Linked DNA regions of Arabidopsis thaliana. The protein of the gene in region 1 interacts with the protein of each later gene in a pairwise test. Each region holds a gene or a part of one and is shown on either strand. Other genes may lie near its edges.

Region 1 (4,262 bases):
TCCTGAATTCTGATGATGCAGTTTTACTTTTGGTTTACATGTATGTATCAAGGTTTGTGTTCCATATGGTCTTTCTTCATCTAGCATTTTTGTTTTTGTTTGTTGAGCCACTGAATCCAACTTGTACTTCTTCAGCTTTGCAGATTAGTAGATCGGTTTTTTTCCTGGCTATGTCTTTTGTCACTACAGACCCTCAACGCTAATTTTGTTCCTGAGCATGGCTATGTTGTTATGAGTTCCTGATATGAAATTTGCTGTGATCTCTTGGTTTCTTGATGCAATGTGTGCTTTTGCTTACTTCTCTGGCTCTTTTAAGTATTACCTACATAGACATTGCATAATTCTAAAACCTTTGCTTTTGCATTACTATGTTCATTCTTGGCAAGTGATAAGGAATCCACGTAGAATAGTATAATACAATCAAAAACTTTGATACATTGCGCAATGAGTGCGTGATGATAACCCTTTAATCAGGATCCAAGTGGTGATATTCACTGATTAATAACCTTCTAGAGAGCCATGCTATACTTCTTGTTCTTTTCGTATTACTATTTATGAAACTGGCTGTTCAAGAAGAATCAAATTCACTCCTTAAACTTTCTTGTTGTAAAAGACACTTTTGTTATAAGTCATTGGTCTTCCTGTGTCCTCTCTTTTTTTCCCTCACCTTTGGCAGCACAGAGAAAAGGTGAGGGAATCTTGTGAAGTGAAAGGATTCCTTAGCTCGTGGGTTTTAAAATTCCTTGGAGCAAAACTTCAAATGGTATCATGATTCCATTTTCAAATTAGGTAAGAAAAGGAGAATCTTGTTCTTTTTCAAGATCAAGACTTGTTATCTTTCTTATATTCCTCACACAAGAGGGGCTGTTAAAATATGAGAAAATACTGTTTCTCTACAATGTTCTTATATAGAATTTGTGATGATGGTAGCACTACTAATAATATGATACCACTCTCTAGGCTGATGCTTTAACAAACATGAACTTAATAGCATAGTTTAAATGGTGAGCTTGCTTGTTTTAAGGTCTAGTAATGGTACTACTATACATTTTGTGGAATTATATACTTGTAAATGCTATGGAACTAGTGATCATGTGTGTTTGCTCGTCTTCCTTCAATCATGGGAAAGTTAATAAAGTGAGTCTATAATTTTACTAGTAGACGGTTGACCAAGTGTAGGTAGTTTACTTCACTTGATCAGCATGCTCAAATCTGTTCAAATTTTTAGGAGAGTAAACAGGAACCACAAGAACGGAACCTAAACCAACATCAGTCCAATTTAAGATACTTGGTTTTGTACGGAATGAAGTTTAATAGCAGTTTTCGGTCTTGGTTCATACAAGATGATGTTTATTGGCTTTGATTGGTAACACAATTTGAGGCGCTTGGAGCGGAGGTTGAACCGCTTCTTTGATTACCAATCGAACTGATGGAACTCATTGTTAGAAGAGGCGGCTAAAACAGATAGCTACTTCGTGTACAACCATAAGCATGTTTCAATGTACAGTATTCATTTTTTGTTGCTCTTATTCTGTAGTACACCTCTGATATTACTGCTACAATGAAATTCTTGTACGACATATATCAAAGTATTGGATTGGCAACGAACGGCTAAGCTTTAACACAAAAATGCCACGTAGGATTAGTCTGACCAATAAGAATCCATCTTTCAAATCCCCTTCCTTCAATCTTAACCAGAAAACTCAATTTATTTATAATCTTTAGAAAAAGGTACTTGAAGAAACAGTTTGCAGACAACATTGAAGAGAAGCTCTAAAGATTCTTTGTCTCTTTCTCTGTCGCATTGATTTGTAAAAAAGTGTGGCAGAGAGAAACCATGGCTATGGCGGAAATGGCAACGAAGTCTTCACTATCTGCAAAACTCACTCTTCCTTCTTCTTCTACTAAGAAGACACTGAGTCTGAGACAAGTCTCTGTTTCACTTCCAACATCAACTTCAATCTCTCTGTTATCTCTCTTTGCATCTCCTCCTCATGAAGCTAAAGCTGCTGTTTCCATTCCCAAGGACCAAATCGTCTCCTCTCTCACTGAAGTATATATAATAATCTCACTTTACTTCTTGAAATGACCAAAATGTCTCCTTTTTGTTGATGAGTGTTCTTGTGTCTTAACAGGTGGAGAAAACAATCAACCAAGTTCAAGAAACTGGTTCTAGTGTATTTGATGCAACGCAGCGTGTGTTCCAAGTAGTAGGAGATGCTCTTAAACCAGCTTTGGACACTGCTTTACCCATTGCAAAGCAAGCTGGTGAAGAAGCTATGAAGCTTGCTTCTCCTGCTTTCTCTGAAGCTTCAAAGAAAGCTCAAGAAGCAATGCAGAGCTCTGGTTTTGATTCTGAGCCTGTCTTTAATGCTGCAAAGGTCAGATTTCTTACATTCAAATATGTATGAGAACATAACAATTTAGGTTTTGGGGTTTAGGGTTTGAAGTGGTTTGTCTGTGTTTTGGTTGGGATGTAGACAGTAACAGATGTAGCACAACAGACGTCAAAAGCGATAGAAGATGCTAAACCGATTGCTTCATCGACCATGGATACGATTTCTTCAGCTGACCCTAGTGTCATTGTTGTTGCTGCTGGTGCTGCGTTTCTTGCTTACCTTCTTCTCCCTCCTGTTTTCTCTGCCATCTCTTTTAACTTCCGTGGTTACAAAGGTACCTCAAGACTCCATATAGATCATCTTGAGAACATATATAAGTTTTTGATTTGGTTATTAGTGATCTATTTTGTATCTAGAGTCTAATTCACCATAGCAAAATGCTGACAATTACTCTGTGTTTCTGGTTTGTGTTTTTTTAATAAAGGTGATCTTACGCCGGCTCAAACGCTTGACCTTCTTTGCACCAAGAACTACTTGATGGTGGATATAAGATCAGAGAAAGACAAGGAGAAAGCCGGGATTCCACGGCTCCCTTCGAATGCTAAGAACCGCGTGATCTCCATTCCGTATGTGTCTATCTAACTTTGATAATTCTTTTCATTATTATTATACTCAAAACATTGAACCTGTTCTTGTGATTATCAGATTAGAAGAACTACCAAACAAAGTAAAAGGAATCGTGAGGAACTCTAAACGAGTTGAAGCAGAGATAGCAGCATTAAAGATTTCTTACCTCAAGAAAATCAACAAAGGCTCCAATATCATCATCTTGGACTCGTGAGTTTTGATTATTACTCTTTTACAAGACCTTTTTTGTGAATCTTGCTTAATCTTTATTGGTCTTTTTGGCTCGTAGGTACACGGATTCGGCTAAGATAGTGGCGAAAACGTTAAAGGTTCTCGGGTACAAGAATTGCTATATTGTGACAGATGGATTCTCTGGTGGCAGAGGATGGTTGCAGAGCCGTTTAGGCACTGATTCTTACAACTTCTCGTTTGCACAAGTCTTGTCTCCATCGCGGATTATCCCGGCAGCTTCGAGAAGCTTTGGCACTAGGTCCGGAACCAAGTTCCTTCCTAGCTCCGACTGAAAACAGAGGATATATATAGTTTTACAAGTGTTGTTTAGTATTCCTTTATTTCTCAACTTTGAGAGATCTTTTGATAAGATAAGATTTTCGAATTACTTACTTACTTGTCTTTTACATTGATGATCATATATGGAAAAGATTACATCAAACTGAAGTAGTAGCTAATCATCTAAAAGAAAAAATGTATGATCAAAAACCGGGATGAGTTTGGCCTATAGTGGTAGGAAAAAATTGGGATAAAGACTAAATTCATAATGAGTTATGGACAACTAATTGTAATATCACATAGATGCACAATCATTTTGGACCATCTGGTAGGTGTGTGTGTGTGGCCTAGCCTTATCACTTAGTGGGATTGCCAATAGCTTTTTGCCGAAAATCCATTTTACAAATGGTTGAAGATAATAAAAATTAGACAAGTTTTTTTTTTTGTGGAGTTTAGTTTAGTGCTTTCAATCATGTGAAAACCAAGATATAAATTTTGAAAACTATTATAAATATTGTGCAATAGTTGAAGTATATACAAACTATTTTTAATCAAAATGTTGTCTAATTAATATTAATTGTAACACCGGTCACTCCGAATTGTAACAAAATTGTCTATTTTGCTAACGGATTCTACACCAAATTAAATAAAATTTATATAGACTAACATATATTGCTCTACTGATCCATACAATCTAAATTGATAGTGTATATAGACTGAAATCAATAAATAAAAGACATAAACCAAATAAGATGATGATCAAAAGTCGAAAAGAGAAAGCAAAAA
Region 2 (5,082 bases), on another chromosome or scaffold:
AGAGGTGACAACGGATATTGAAACATCATGGGGACGCAAACGCAGCCACCAGCGCGGTATTGGTACTTTTCCCATATTTCTATAATCACAAGGACATGAGAGTGGTGAGGTAGCGTTTTGCGTTTTGAGTTAGCAGCGGCAGCAATCGGTCTACCTCAGTAAAGATAAGAGAGCTCGCAACCTACTTAATCTTTAATAATTTTAAATACCATTTAAGACATAACCTCTCAACAATTTTAGATTTATTTAGTTGTCATCAACAAATTTGCCCACAACTTTATCTTGGACTTTTGGCGAACAAGTTCAAACAAGAAATAATCCAAAACATACCAACATGACGTCGTATGAGGTCTTCCCATGTCTACATTTGGATCCAGCCATGTAATCGTGTAACATGTGACTTGATATATCCACTTATACAAAAAGCTGTCATGCCATTGGATTGCCATAAGCAGGCGTAAATGTGAATGTATGATCATAAAGACATTACATTATCACCTGTCGTCTTACTGCAAGTTTCATGTCCGTTAGTCTATGTATTAATATGAATTTAAACTATACTATCTTCTTTTTTTGTCTGCATTGCTTACTATCATATCATAGAGACAAAAAGCTGAAAAACAATATTGAAAATAAAGTTAAAGTTAAAAGCACTAATAATTACAACCACCACGAAACTCCTCATCATCAGTGCCCACACATGAAAGAAACCAAAAAAAAAAAACCAAAATTAAAAACATCTAATTAACGACCCCAACTCTAATTCCCGCCATATTCTTAAAACTAAACACTGAAAACGTCGCCGCTTCAGATCATCGAACAGACTCATGTCTCAAGTCTCCTTTCATCTGATGGTCTTACCCCACCCGATCTGCACCCGATTGGCGCAACTCCTGGATCCTTCTCACCACCTCCACCATAACTGGCCGCTTGTCTGGGTGCTGCTCTGTACAGTCAATGCCCAGCTGCAGCATTTCCGCCATCTCTTCTTCCACCGAGACAACTGTCTCGATACTCATCAGCTCCGAGTCAAAAACCTCATTCCTCCACTCCTCTCTCGCCACTGAATGCACCCACCTCGCCAAATCCATTCCTTCCTCGTTCATCACCGAGTTAGACGGAGCTTTTCCGGTGAGCAACTCTAGCAACACCACACCAAAGCTGTACACGTCCGCTTTCTGTGAGACACGCCTCGGGTCAGTTACTTCTGGCGCACGGTACCCAGTGGCCCGGTTTGGGGTTGTGGATGAGGCGCTTACAAGCTGAGCCAGGCCGAAATCAGACACTCGTGCGTCATGGGAGTTTGTTAAGAGGATATTGGAGGACTTGACGTTTCCGTGAGAGCTCAGTGGGTCTTGTGAGTGAAGATAGTCTAAGCCACGAGCAGCTCCAAGGGCGATGCCTGATCTGACTTCCCAGTTCAATGGAGGCCGGCCTGCACCTTTGTTTCCTGTAACATAGCATGACATTAAGCTCAATACACAAAAAAAACTACTGTCTGAAAGTAGAACACAGGAGGTCTGGATTTTTCTTTGTTCAAAATACAATTCTAAAAGATCAATTATCACAGCTAGTCAAGGAATCCAAGGTTATCTACTGTCCCCACTAATTCATAGACGTCCTGTGTAAGCCATGTGAATGATAAAAACTCTTCACTGATCCTTGTCAATGTGATGCAGTACCAAACTAATCATTTCATGATAGAATCTTTGTCATTTCTTTCTTAACAGTAATGTATATTAACGAATCCATTACTAATTATGCCAAACTTAAGATTCAGCAGAGAACTATTAACAATAAAAATCAAATTTTTCGCTGAGAAAGAAAGAGAGGGGTAGTTCTCACCGTGTAAGAGAGCTGATAAGCTTCCCATAGGCATGAAGTCATAGACAAGCAGCTTCTCGTCTCCACTGTAATAGTACGCTCTCAAGGGCACCAAGTTCTCATGATCCATCGCCCCAACAACCTCAATCTTCTCCTTAAACTCTCTGTCCGCCATCGTTACATCCTTCAGTCTCTTCACAGCCACCAATGTCACCGCGTCAAGCACCGCTTTATAAGCTGTCCCGAACGTTCCTTTCCCCAGAACCTCCGCTGAAGCTCTCAACAGATCCTCAAGATCGAAGACCTTTGTCGCATTCCCAAAAAACACTAACTTCTTCATCCCTGAACTGTTCACTTCCACAGCTTTCACTGCAGACGGAGAGTACTCATTTACATAGCTCCTATTCTCCGGTGCTTCCACGGCCGCTTTCTCGCCAGGAATTTCAACTTCATGGTGCTTGATGGTTGCAAGGTCAATGGCCCTTGTTCTCTCGTTCCCCTTTTTCCTAAAGAGAACCATCAAAATCATAACAATCAGGGACAAACCAACCACACATCCAATCACTATTCCAGCTATAGCTCCACCAGAAAGCTTCTTCCTTTTCTTCTTCTCCTCACTTCCTTCAACAGTTCCGGGAATATTGCCAACAGAAATTGGCTGGCTTGGCACAGTTCCCTCATTAGAGCAGACAACAAGCGGTTTGCCGCAGAGAGAAGTTCCCACAAACGAATCAGAATCAAACTTCTGCAAACTCTTAGGTATAGATCCGTTCAACAAGTTATTAGAAACGTTGAACTGATCCAAAGACAAATCCAAGTCTAAAAGAGAGCCAGAGAGCTTGTTATTCTCCAGGTACAGAGTCTTAAGCCTAGTAAGGTTTTTAAACCCTGACGAGATCTCTCCACTAAATTCATTCTCAGCTAGATTCAACCTAACAAGGTTACTAAGACTAAACAAAACCTCCGGAATCTCACCGGAGAATCTGTTACCCTGCAGGTACAAACGCCGAAGATCGGAGCAGCTTCCGAGATCCAAAGGAAGAGAACCAGTAAGACCATTGAGACGGAGACTAAGCGTCCGGAGCTGAGTTAAATTACCAAAAATACCCTCCGGTATATGACCGGAGAGCGTTTCACCGGGAAGACGAAGAGCAGTAACACGACCACCGTCGCATAAGACGCCGGTCCAGTTGCATGGTGAGGTTTGCTTGACGTCCCAGAGTAATGTACGACCACCGACGGCGGAACGAAAAGAGAGAAGAGCGGATTTGTCGGCGGCGAGATCTCCGATTGACGGAAGAGGAAGAGAAAGGAGAAGAATCGAGAAGAATATGGAGAGATTGGACATTGACGGTGTGAAGAAGAGTCGCATTGTAAGAAACAAAGAGAGAAACCCTAGAAAAAAGCTCTCAGTGAAGAAGCTGTGTGTGTGGTTTACAGAGAAAGAGTGAAGCTAGTCAACACTCTTAACACTCTCTCTTTCTCTTTTTCTCCACTTTTTGTTTTTTTCGAGTTTTGAAATTTTTTCAAATTAAAATCTAAATGTGACAAAAACGACAATTTCTATACAACAGTGACGTATGTCTTTATATGCTTCGACAAAAATATTTGTATTTTTTTTTTTTTAATTTCTATTATTGGTTTTTATGTTTTAACTTATTGATATTATAGAATCTTATGTGAATCATTCGTACCACTAAGCTGTGTTGTCTTATCTAAATTCCAACTGCTAAAGATTATTAACTGGATTACAAAAACTTAGAGTTTAATAATCAATCGGATTAACAAGAAAATTAGCAAGTGGGTGTGTGTGTTTATGGAGAAATGGAATACAAAGGTTTTGATTATGAAATTCCCTGCATCTGAGTAAAGTGGAATCACTCTTCTCAAGATAACACTTAATTCTATGTATTTTTTTTTGTTTTGCTTCTTTAATAATAAAATTGATTTTTTCTTACTATAGTAGTATGATAATGCATGGTTGTAAAAGAAAAGAAAAAAATGAACATGGGTATGCAGAGAAAGGTAGGACCATAAACATGTAAAAAAGCCAACAACAATAATTTAACAGCATTCAAAGTAGGCTCTTTTATTTACAAGTAACGCATTCTCTGTTTTTTTATTGTCTCCACTCTCTGCATATCAACGGCATCAATCTAAAGGGTCCCATTAATCTTACTATCTTACCAATTTTTCTATCCATCGAATAAATTATTTCATGGTCCACAAAGGTAATATTATTGTGATTCATATTTTGGATAATTTACAATAAAAGATGAAAAAAGATTCACGACGGTTACATTGATATGTGGTTGGGCGTTACATTTTAGAAGAAAAGAGTAAAACTATATGAAGTGTAGTAATTTAATGGATCTATTTTCGATCGCACATGTGGATAAACAGTTTGGTAGTTGGAATATTGAGTTGTTTTTAAGCCATTTAACAAAAGGTATACTATTGAGTTGTGTTTTTAACTATCTAGCTGGCTTTACTATTGTTTTACTTTGGAAGATAAAGACGTTAGTCATCATAATGTAAATACTAAGTATAGTAGCTGTGTGTTGAGACCCACTAAGCAATAAAAGACTATACTAATAGATATGGGATTATGGGAAACCTTTTCTTGATTGCCTAAAAAGGTTCCTCTAATGAGAGAGGGACAAACAAAGTAAATAAGAGGACTGAATTGAGTTCAAAGCATAGTTCTGTCACGGTTTAAGCTGGTCTAGCATACATAAACATTTGTTCAAGTAATAACATTCCTTTCGTTGTATATCACAACTAGGCTCTTAACCATATATAAATGATAAAACATACATACAAGATCATATCTCTTCTGCGTGACAAACAATCTCTAGAAACTAGAATTGTATGACCGAGGGCCTTTTAAATCTTGTAAAAAGCTCTCTGTTACTTGAAATTAAACTTCTACCTGTGGGGTTTCAGGGTTTTTGACGAAATTAAGTTTCTTTCTTTTGTTTCAAGCGATTACCCTTCTTCTGTACCAATGCAACAGCCGAGGTTATAACGCACAGAGCCAAGACTGAAAAAGCAATTGAAGTCTCTGACACTTTCATTCTTCGTAATGGTAATGATGGGTTTAAGCTCATAGTCCCAAATTTCGTTCTTGAATCTTCTGGTCTATATAACACGTGACATTAAAAACTATGTATCAGACCAAGACAACAATGTTGTGTCTTTTGATGAACTACTGAGAAAAAGGTTTCTATGAGATTACCTTATGAAATTCTTCATTTT
Region 3 (5,862 bases), on another chromosome or scaffold:
TGAACGGCGTTACTTTCAAATAACAAATACTAACAGAAATATCATTGTAGATAAGACTTTAGGGTCTTCGATCGACATATAATAAAGATAAGGTTTGGGACCCTTTCAAGCTTTTTTTCGGTGTCGGCAATGAAGTTTTACGTCGAGGTGGCATTAACAACTGGACAACGGCTTTTTGTTTTGTTTTGGGGTCTCTTTTGTCTTGTGAATAACAACTTTTATCACATTCGCATAAATTATATATAGATTTATGAATTTATTCTCCCAAATTAATGGTTTGTCTCAGTGGAAATCTACTGTTTTGTCCAGTGACTTGTGTTATCTATTTAATTCAGTTGGATGCCAAAAATAACATATATTTTCGATCTATCTATTGTGGATTTTACCCGATCGACATAAAAGGAATTAAGGACCGGTATTGGACCAATATTACATGACTGGTCATGCATGGAAACACACCAAACAAAACAATAAATTTTCTTTGTATAAAAAAAGAAAACCAATAATTTATTTATCTTCTGATTAAAATATGGCGAAGAGATATACACTAGTATTAAAATTTAAAACAATAGAATGAGGTAAAACATAAATACAGCATGTCGTGGACGTCTTTCGATTGTTTTTAGTTCTTTTTTTTTGGTTTTATATTTCAAAACTTGTTGAAACTGCATAAAAGTTTTTTTTTTGTGTGGATCCCCGTAATTTTTATTCTACACACGTACAAGACAATTTTTTCTTACGTAAACTATACAAACATATAAAGTGCATGTGACTGGTGAATGCTTATAATAAAATACAAATAAAATAATGTGTGATTGGTGGAATATTTAGAGTAAAAGAAGAATGAATATAGAGGAATATTGATATTGGAGGAAATAAAAATATGAATTAGAGTACCCAAATAACTGGTATTCCCTACAAGCAGTCAACAAAACTAAGGAAAAAAAAACCAAGGAAAAAAGAAGAAAAAATTGTTTTGTTTCTGTTGAGTGGACAAGTTATGAGATTAGAATTCAAATATCCGTTCAAGTTAAAGCATGGAATCACGAATGCTCCACATCTCAAAGAAGAAATTGAACTCTTTCTAATCTTAGAATTCAAAGAAACGTAGAGGAGTCTGATGAGATGTGGTTGGTTGCTATTACCTCTGATTGAATTTGATCACATACAAAATAACATTCGATCTTGATGTGTTTCGTAGGCTTTTGTGTAAAATCAGATGCATATATTTGTTTCAAGGGTCGTCTCCACTAGAGTAAAATGACGCATATCATCAAGAATGCTTTTCCACCACATTACTTACGACACAGTCAATATTCAACTTCGACATAAACGAACCTATTTCGCAAATTGTTTATGAGTTATTCAAATTATGTAAATTTAATATACTATCATATATTTTATAAAGATGTCTATTAAGTAAAAGGATGAAAACATATATTATTTGAAAAACCGGATTTCAGATGAAATTACTAGTTTAAATCAAAATATGCTTTGATTTATATAGTAATACAAGTATTTTTTTGAACTTAAATTGTTATATGATTGATATGTCACCATAACCGTAAATATTTGCGAAATAAAGGTAATTTCTTACCATATGTTTTTCCAAATATTAAGAGATACATTAAACATGTCATACTGATCAAAGATCTCTAAGTAGTAGTAAATAAGGTTTACGAGTACTTTTTTGAAACAAACCTAGAAAATAGAAGGGAATAGAAGAAACTTCAAAAGCACAAAAAGAGAAAAATCCAAAGAATAATTTATTATACAATAAAATAAAAACGTATAAAAAAGGGAACAAAATGGGTAAAGAGAGGAGGAGGAGGACCCTGAAGTAGGGTTAAAAAATCCATCTCCTTTGGTGTCTCTATCATCAACACCTGTCGGCCTTGTCACTTAAACACGCTCTTCACTCTCTTCTCACACACCTCTCCTTCTCCTTCTCCCACCATTTAATCAATTCCACAATATTCAATTTTTCCAGTCTCCTCCGTTACACAATTCCACAAAGAGATTAAACAAACAATAGAAAAATATCTTCCTTTCTTTTTCTGTGAATACACCAATAAAGTGACAAAAGAAAAAGCCTGTCTTCTCTCACCTGTAATTACCAGAAGACAATATAAACTGTTACTTTCCTTCTTTTGTTGTACCCCTTTAAAAACGGCTACTTTAGAGAACTTGAGAAGATTTAGAAAGAAACAGAGAGCTTGAGAGATTCCTCTGGCTAAACCCAGATGGAGTTTGGATCTTTTCTTGTGTCCTTAGGGACATCTTTTGTTATCTTCGTCATTCTCATGCTTCTCTTCACCTGGCTTTCTCGCAAATCTGGAAATGCTCCCATTTATTACCCGAATCGGATCCTTAAAGGGCTGGAGCCATGGGAAGGCACCTCCTTGACTCGAAACCCTTTTGCTTGGATGCGTGAAGCTTTGACTTCCTCTGAACAAGATGTCGTTAACTTATCCGGCGTCGATACTGCTGTCCACTTTGTCTTCTTGAGCACTGGTTCGATCTCAATCTCTCTCTGTTCATCTCTGTTCTCTGTTACTTTAGTGGTTCCAATTCAAGGGTTTGGTGGAATTCTGCTGATTTCTGTTGGTTTTGATTTGGGTTTGAGATTTAACCTAATAAAGTTTCGATCTTTAGAGACAATTGGGGGAAAAAACGTTTCAAAATGGAAACTTTTTTGTTTGTAAATTGCTGGCTCTGACTATTTTGTTTGCTATGTTATGTTATCTCTGTTTTACTTTTAGACATTGGTGATTGAAATTAGAATCAGTAGATAGAACTTTTTGAAGTCTATATATACGAGCCAGTGATTTTGGTGAAGGTAAAGTGTTTATGATGTCTTGAAAATTGGCTTTTGTTTGATGCAGTTCTGGGGATATTTGCTTGTTCCAGTCTTCTTCTCCTACCAACTCTACTGCCTCTAGCCGCTACAGACAACAACATAAAGAACACAAAGAATGCGACAGATACCACAAGCAAAGGAACTTTTAGCCAACTTGATAATCTATCAATGGCTAACATCACAGTAAGTAAACACAACAATAACTCCATTCTGCCTATTGATTCATTTTCAGTTTTTGATAGTCTAAAGCAAAATGTGTATCCTTTCATTTGAACAGAAAAAAAGTTCGAGGCTGTGGGCGTTCCTAGGAGCTGTTTACTGGATATCTTTGGTCACATATTTCTTCTTGTGGAAAGCTTATAAGCATGTCTCTTCATTGAGAGCTCAAGCTCTGATGTCTGCTGATGTAAAACCCGAGCAATTCGCTATTCTTGTTAGGGATATGCCTGCACCACCTGACGGGCAGACACAGAAAGAGTTTATTGATTCTTATTTCAGAGAAATATACCCTGAGACATTCTACAGATCGCTTGTCGCAACAGAAAACAGCAAGGTATCTACTTGTTCTGGCCTAAGAAAGTCATATGTTTTAAGGTTTTAGGCATCATAATGTTAATATGTTAACCTTTGCTCTTTGTTGTGTTGTATAGGTTAATAAAATATGGGAAAAATTGGAAGGTTACAAGAAGAAGCTTGCGCGAGCAGAAGCAATATTAGCAGCAACTAATAACCGTCCCACGAACAAAACCGGCTTCTGTGGGCTAGTCGGTAAACAAGTAGACAGCATTGAGTATTACACTGAGCTAATCAACGAGTCTGTAGCCAAACTGGAAACAGAGCAGAAAGCGGTTCTTGCTGAGAAGCAGCAAACCGCAGCAGTGGTTTTCTTCACAACCAGGGTTGCTGCTGCATCAGCAGCTCAGTCTCTGCACTGCCAGATGGTTGATAAATGGACTGTGACCGAAGCTCCTGAGCCACGGCAGCTCCTATGGCAGAATCTCAACATCAAGCTCTTCAGCAGAATAATCCGGCAATACTTCATCTACTTCTTTGTTGCAGTGACCATTCTGTTTTACATGATACCAATCGCGTTCGTCTCTGCCATCACCACTCTTAAGAATCTTCAGAGGATTATTCCGTTCATAAAGCCGGTTGTGGAGATAACCGCCATAAGAACCGTTTTGGAGTCTTTCCTTCCTCAGATTGCGCTCATTGTTTTCTTGGCCATGTTGCCGAAGCTTCTCTTGTTTCTCTCCAAAGCCGAGGGGATTCCTTCACAGAGCCATGCCATTAGGGCTGCTTCAGGGAAGTACTTTTACTTCTCGGTCTTTAATGTCTTCATTGGTGTTACCCTTGCTGGGACTTTGTTCAACACAGTGAAGGATATCGCGAAAAATCCCAAACTCGACATGATTATTAACCTTTTGGCTACTAGCCTCCCTAAGAGCGCAACTTTCTTCCTGACCTACGTTGCTCTCAAGTGAGATTTTGGTCTTCTTGACTTAAATAGCATATGTATTGTTCGTTTGTTCCCTAAATCTTATGTTGATGATTTTTTTTCAGGTTCTTTATCGGTTATGGCCTTGAGCTGTCTCGGATCATACCTTTGATAATCTTCCACCTGAAAAAGAAGTATCTCTGCAAAACCGAAGCGGAGGTCAAAGAAGCTTGGTACCCGGGAGACTTAAGCTATGCGACTAGGGTTCCCGGAGACATGCTCATCCTCACAATCACGTTCTGCTATTCAGTCATTGCTCCTCTTATCCTCATATTCGGCATCACCTACTTTGGTTTAGGCTGGCTAGTCCTCAGGAATCAGGTCAGACTTTCTCTCTATTTACTATACCCATAAACACTTAGGTTATCAAAAATGTGATCTTGAACTGTTTTATTTCGGGGTATGACAGGCGTTGAAAGTGTACGTTCCATCATACGAGAGCTATGGAAGAATGTGGCCGCATATTCACCAGCGCATACTAGCAGCGTTGTTTCTATTCCAAGTGGTAATGTTTGGCTACTTAGGAGCCAAGACATTCTTCTACACGGCCCTTGTGATCCCTCTCATTATCACCTCTCTCATCTTCGGATATGTGTGCCGCCAGAAATTCTACGGAGGGTTCGAACACACAGCTCTCGAGGTAGCTTGCCGTGAGCTGAAGCAGAGTCCAGACCTAGAGGAGATTTTCAGAGCATACATTCCGCATAGCTTGAGCTCTCACAAACCAGAAGAACACGAGTTCAAAGGCGCAATGTCTCGTTATCAAGATTTCAACGCAATAGCAGGCGTTTAAAATTTGAATCCAATCCCCAAATTATCTCATAGATTTGTTTTGCTGGTTTTTTAGAAGCTTTTATTGTTATGTGTGTGAATTTTAGGGTTTGTTTAGGATTCTTCTTTGTATGTGTTCCATGGTTGTTGTAACTTGTAACTTTGTAAGCTACTTTTAAACATCAACTTGATTTTTCATCATTAATATTCTTCTACTCTGATGTTCTGATTTCTTTAGCTGATGCAAATTGTATTTAAAGTAGTTTCAAACATATATACATTATTGTCACAGCTTGATCTATATTCATTGAACTGAAATGTTGTAACCAAAATTCACAAGGACTAAAGATTCAAGAAAACGAATGAATGGAATGGAAAATAAATTTATTTCTCATAAGCTATAAATAGGTTTTGGTCCGGTCGGTAACGGAGAGGGAATGTCTTCAGGTGCACGGACAGGCTTCACCCACCGGCCAGTCTGTTTGTTAAGGATCAGACCCTTATGTGCCACTTGGTACCAAAACTCAGGTATTCTTAGATGATCCAACAACATATCTGTGCTCTTGTTCACCGAAGCAACGTCTCTCCTAGCGTTAACCCTAAACCCAGATTTCTTGCGGTGGAAGCCATCCAAAACATGGAGATACACCTCTAGATTATGAGCCCTCCCTAAGTCTGAATCACGTTTTACGTAAGGCGAACTGAAGACATCGAGTTTAAGCTGCGTTCCGAC
Region 4 (4,759 bases), on another chromosome or scaffold:
TTACTTTTAATTATCTTTCAATGTAAACATGGAAAAAAAAATAAAAAAACTGGTACATTTTGTATGCATTTTTGCGGTTATAAACTTTGGAATTGTAAAGAATGAACTAGATTTTAACCCGCGGTACACCGCGGAGACAATTTATTTTTTTAAATTAGTATATATAAAATTTTACAAATTATGTCTATCTATAAAATATTTTTATTTTATAGTTTATAATTGTTATTAAGTAACGTCCTTCTAAACCCGTTCCACCAAACTCGTCCTGTAAAAATAAACCGCGGTACCCCGCTAATTTAAATTTATAATTAAAATAAATATTTTACGGGATTGCAATTGTGTTTTAGTTTGTCAAACAAAATTTTGTTTTAAATAGTTGTCGAAATGTAGTTCAAATTTTGGAGACATAAGATTTAGTGAATAGATAAGAAATATATTTAGTTGCGTTTCGCTCATTTTAAGGGATTGCAATTGTCTTTTGGGTTGTCAAACATTTTTTGTTTTAAATAGTTGTCGAAATCTATTTCAAATTTTGGAAAAATCTGCGTGATATATGGGATTGGAATATATTTCGAATGTTTTTTTATTTGTTAATCAATTTATTGCTAAAAAAACAATAATTAAAAGCCAATGGTAGCCATTGTAAATAAATTCCAACTCCAGGATTTATTTCACAAAATGACTGCAACAATGTATATATAGATTCTATTTTTATGAATATAATTCCCTTTATATTTGGAGACTATTTCCTTTGAATGATGACTTGTCTGAATACAAATCTTCTCGTAAGTCCTTAAAGGATATTTGGTTTCCCACGAATCAAGCCAATACAAGTTTGTGTATGTCATTTATGTTTAAATGAGTTTAGTTGGCAAAGTAATCAAAATATTTCATTTCGAGAAGAACATATAGCTTACACGCCTCATAAGTTAGTTACCTACAGAAACTTATATGGTGGGGTGATATACTTTCGGATTCTAGGTAAGATATAGTATATGTGCGTTACTATTGCTCATACTATAAAAATCACCTTTTGGTTTTGAGTTATCATTTTGAAATCTACACATGATTGCGTGTACTCATTATTTAAAGTCGGCATAGATTTCTCCATATATATGTCATGATTCCATGAATGTTCTTTTAACATCTTAATGCGATAACACTTTACATTGAAATATTCAAGAAAAAACCAAGCTGTTTTCTAAATAAATTTAGTTTGTCCACGGTTAATAAAATTTAAAATTAGCGAAATACGTAAATAATCAAATGATATAACCAAAATGCCTATTATTTTTAAAACAACATTTTATTTTCTCTAATCTCATAAAATACTCTAATAAAATCTAGTTGTAAGTGAAAATAACACTAAGCTTCAAACACACACGTACATGAATGTTTGTTTTTTTCTTTCAAAAAAGCTGAACAATGACATTTTAAGTCCAAATGAAAACGATGGTATCATCTTGGACTTCCAATTTTCCATTGCCCATATTTTCTCTTTTCTTTTGTTTTTATCCAATTGGTATCGAATCATTCATATAAAATTATAAATCATGAAGTCAAATTTTTCAATAGTAACACTTGAGTAATAGTGGTCCTACCAACTTTTTACCAAGACAGATATATTTTTTTTAATACACTTTTTACCTTTTACTGTGTTTGCCTCAAATGAGTGTTTTTACCAGTTTCTGTGTATATAAATCTGCACTCCACTCTCAGTTTATCTTCATCCACAAGACAGTTCTTTAACAAAGTCATTAAACATTTCCCTTACCTTCTAAAGATCAACTCTTTCAAACACTTACTCTGCATGTAACTTCATAGATTGAACGAAGAACCAAAAAAACAGAGCAAAACAAACAAAAGATGGTTCAAAACCACCAAACAGTTCTCGCCGTCGATATGCCACAAACCGGCGGCTCCAAGTACTTGGACGACGACGGGAAAAACAAAAGAACTGGTAACAATGTTTCTCTCTTTCTCTTTAATTCATATTGAGACTTGGTTCTCTAATTATTCAAAAAAATATTAATTTGAACTCGAAACCTGCTCTGATTTAGTTATGTTGAAAAAACGAGAAAGTTGAAAGTTTTTAAATTTTGGGTTTTAGGGAGTGTTTGGACGGCGAGTGCACACATAATAACGGCAGTGATAGGTTCGGGAGTTTTGTCACTAGCGTGGGCTACGGCGCAGCTAGGTTGGCTCGCCGGACCGGTGGTGATGTTGCTCTTCTCTGCCGTCACTTATTTCACTTCTTCTCTTCTTGCTGCTTGTTACCGCTCCGGCGACCCTATCTCCGGCAAGAGGAACTACACTTATATGGATGCTGTCCGATCAAATCTCGGTAAATACAAAACTTCAAAGTAGAAATCGGACAATGGAGATCAGATCAGAACAGAGCATTAACATTTTTCATTGTTCTGTATAGGTGGCGTGAAGGTGACGCTATGTGGGATTGTTCAGTATCTTAATATCTTTGGTGTTGCTATTGGCTACACAATTGCTTCAGCTATAAGCATGATGTGAGTGTTCTCACTAATTAACTCTTAAAACTACGAAGTTAGGTAATGGACCAAATAGGTTTTGATGATAATAAAAAATAAACAAAATTTTGTTTTTGAAAAACAGGGCAATAAAGAGATCAAACTGTTTCCACAAGAGTGGAGGGAAAGATCCATGTCACATGAACAGTAATCCTTACATGATAGCTTTTGGATTAGTCCAGATTCTATTCTCTCAGATTCCAGATTTTGATCAACTTTGGTGGCTCTCAATCCTCGCCGCCGTTATGTCCTTCACTTATTCCTCAGCCGGTCTCGCCCTCGGCATAGCCCAAGTTGTCGGTTCGTTTCTTGAACCATAAAGCTTCTAGGGTCTTAAATAAGAACTTTCATAGGTAAAAAACTAATAGGTTTTATGTGTTTTGGTTTCATCAGTTAATGGGAAGGTGAAGGGAAGTCTCACTGGGATTAGCATAGGAGCAGTAACAGAGACACAGAAGATATGGAGGACCTTTCAAGCTCTTGGAGACATTGCTTTTGCTTACTCTTACTCCATTATCCTCATCGAGATTCAGGTACTTATACCTTCTTTACAAGTCTTGATGATCAAAGCCATTAATTACTGGTCCCATCATGAAGCTTTTTTTATTCTGGGATCTGAAACAGGACACAGTGAAGTCACCACCATCAGAAGAGAAGACGATGAAGAAGGCAACACTTGTGAGCGTCAGTGTAACGACTATGTTCTATATGTTGTGTGGATGTATGGGATATGCAGCCTTTGGAGACTTGTCTCCGGGAAATCTCTTAACCGGTTTCGGGTTTTATAATCCTTATTGGCTTCTTGACATTGCAAATGCAGCCATTGTGATTCACCTTATTGGTGCATACCAAGTCTATTGCCAACCTCTGTTTGCTTTCATCGAGAAGCAAGCTTCCATTCAATTCCCTGATAGTGAGTTCATTGCAAAAGATATCAAAATTCCAATTCCTGGTTTCAAGCCTCTCCGCTTGAATGTCTTCAGGTACAAATCTTGCCTTTAAACTAATGGGATCTGAGTTTTAAACATGATGTGTATGTAATAATCAAAGCTTCTGTGTGGCGTGGAATGGCTTACTCAGGTTGATATGGAGGACAGTGTTTGTGATCATAACGACAGTTATCTCAATGCTTCTTCCGTTTTTCAACGACGTTGTGGGTCTGCTCGGGGCACTAGGGTTTTGGCCATTGACGGTGTATTTTCCAGTGGAAATGTACATCGCGCAGAAGAAGATACCTAGATGGAGCACCAGATGGGTTTGCCTTCAAGTCTTCAGCTTAGGGTGTCTAGTAGTTAGCATTGCTGCAGCTGCAGGGTCCATAGCTGGAGTACTTCTTGATCTAAAGTCCTACAAGCCATTTCGAAGCGAATACTGATCAACTTGAATAGTAGCCAATTCAAAGCGATGACTAAGTCAGTTTTAAACACAATGGATTTATCAAGAACAGTCAAGAGAACCAAGAACCATGAATTTGGGAATTTTGATCAGCTTTTTTTTATATAGATAGAAGCAATAATGCTGTTAGTTCTTCTCTATAATCTTCTCTGTACCCTGAAGGCAAGAATTGTAGTCCTAATGAGTAAATCTTCGATTAATGACAGAGTCATGTGCTGCAACAGAATCATGAACTAGCACCATAATAGTATATTACCATTGTGGTAAAATTTCAATAACAAGTTCTTGTACTTGCTCTTCTTTCCATGATCTGATATTTGCCGTATGAACCATTCACTAAGGCACACAAGTATGGATTATTTAAGCGAAACAATCACCAGAGCAGTGCAGTAACAAAAGATCAAGACTTTATCAATGCCATCATAACTTACATAACTGAGTCATACATATCAATTCGCTTATTCAGTCTACAACTAGCAAAGATTTCTAATTCCTGTAAATCACATACTGTAGATTCCACATTCGAGGTCCTCAAATATCAACTTGCAGCAAGAAGCTTTTGCAACTGACCACTCTCCAAAGCAGCTCCAAGATCTGAAGCAACAAGATAAACAGCCAAGGCTTGTGAGTTACAAGGGAAATTTGGACAAAAGAATGAAACTTGGAGGAGATAGTGAGCTCATCATACCATCTGATCCACCAATATGCTTGCCGTTAACAAAAACTTGCGGGACAGTACGACGACCAACGAATTCTAAAAGCTCATACTGGATTTGATCTCCGTCCTCTGCAAAAACAAATCTCTCAGAAGTTTTAAGAAA

The links.
Region 2: the proteins of CaS (region 1) and RLK902 interact in a protein complementation assay, tested with the Arabidopsis thaliana proteins (one large-scale study listed by BioGRID).
Region 3: the proteins of CaS (region 1) and ERD4 interact in a protein complementation assay, tested with the Arabidopsis thaliana proteins (one large-scale study listed by BioGRID).
Region 4: the proteins of CaS (region 1) and AAP3 interact in a protein complementation assay, tested with the Arabidopsis thaliana proteins (one large-scale study listed by BioGRID).

The regions. Positions count from the first base shown.
Region 1 is NC_003076.8:7,735,988-7,740,249, reverse strand, and holds CaS (calcium sensing receptor), read left to right. Parts: upstream 1-1,714; 5' UTR 1,715-1,837; coding exon 1,838-2,053; intron 2,054-2,135; coding exon 2,136-2,381; intron 2,382-2,480; coding exon 2,481-2,673; intron 2,674-2,823; coding exon 2,824-2,965; intron 2,966-3,044; coding exon 3,045-3,176; coding exon of another isoform or gene 3,177-3,180; exon of another isoform or gene 3,181-3,255; coding exon 3,256-3,490; 3' UTR 3,491-3,732; downstream 3,733-4,262. UniProt on the Arabidopsis thaliana protein: Modulates cytoplasmic Ca(2+) concentration and is crucial for proper stomatal regulation in response to elevated levels of external Ca(2+).
Region 2 is NC_003074.8:6,104,206-6,109,287, reverse strand, and holds RLK902 (receptor-like kinase 902), read right to left. Parts: upstream 3,381-5,082; 5' UTR 3,197-3,380; coding exon 1,846-3,196; intron 1,451-1,845; coding exon 858-1,450; 3' UTR 551-857; downstream 1-550. Other genes in the region: AT3G17830 (Molecular chaperone Hsp40/DnaJ family protein), read right to left, coding at 4,785-4,965, 5,063-5,082.
Region 3 is NC_003070.9:10,713,649-10,719,510, forward strand, and holds ERD4 (Early-responsive to dehydration stress protein (ERD4)), read left to right. Parts: upstream 1-1,833; 5' UTR 1,834-2,243; coding exon 2,244-2,514; intron 2,515-2,885; coding exon 2,886-3,043; intron 3,044-3,137; coding exon 3,138-3,413; intron 3,414-3,510; coding exon 3,511-4,340; intron 4,341-4,423; coding exon 4,424-4,679; intron 4,680-4,767; coding exon 4,768-5,151; 3' UTR 5,152-5,349; downstream 5,350-5,862. Other genes in the region: DLAH (alpha/beta-Hydrolases superfamily protein), read right to left, coding at 5,521-5,862. UniProt on the Arabidopsis thaliana protein: Acts as a hyperosmolarity-gated non-selective cation channel that permeates Ca(2+) ions. Mechanosensitive ion channel that converts mechanical stimuli into a flow of ions: activated in response to membrane stretch. Not activated in response to membrane poke.
Region 4 is NC_003070.9:29,074,360-29,079,118, reverse strand, and holds AAP3 (amino acid permease 3), read left to right. Parts: upstream 1-1,728; 5' UTR 1,729-1,866; coding exon 1,867-1,960; intron 1,961-2,110; coding exon 2,111-2,344; intron 2,345-2,428; coding exon 2,429-2,522; intron 2,523-2,628; coding exon 2,629-2,843; intron 2,844-2,936; coding exon 2,937-3,076; intron 3,077-3,167; coding exon 3,168-3,526; intron 3,527-3,623; coding exon 3,624-3,918; 3' UTR 3,919-4,240; downstream 4,241-4,759. Other genes in the region: AT1G77370 (Glutaredoxin family protein), read right to left, coding at 4,477-4,532, 4,627-4,759. UniProt on the Arabidopsis thaliana protein: Amino acid-proton symporter. Stereospecific transporter with a broad specificity for GABA, tryptophan and both neutral and basic amino acids. High affinity transport of cationic amino acids.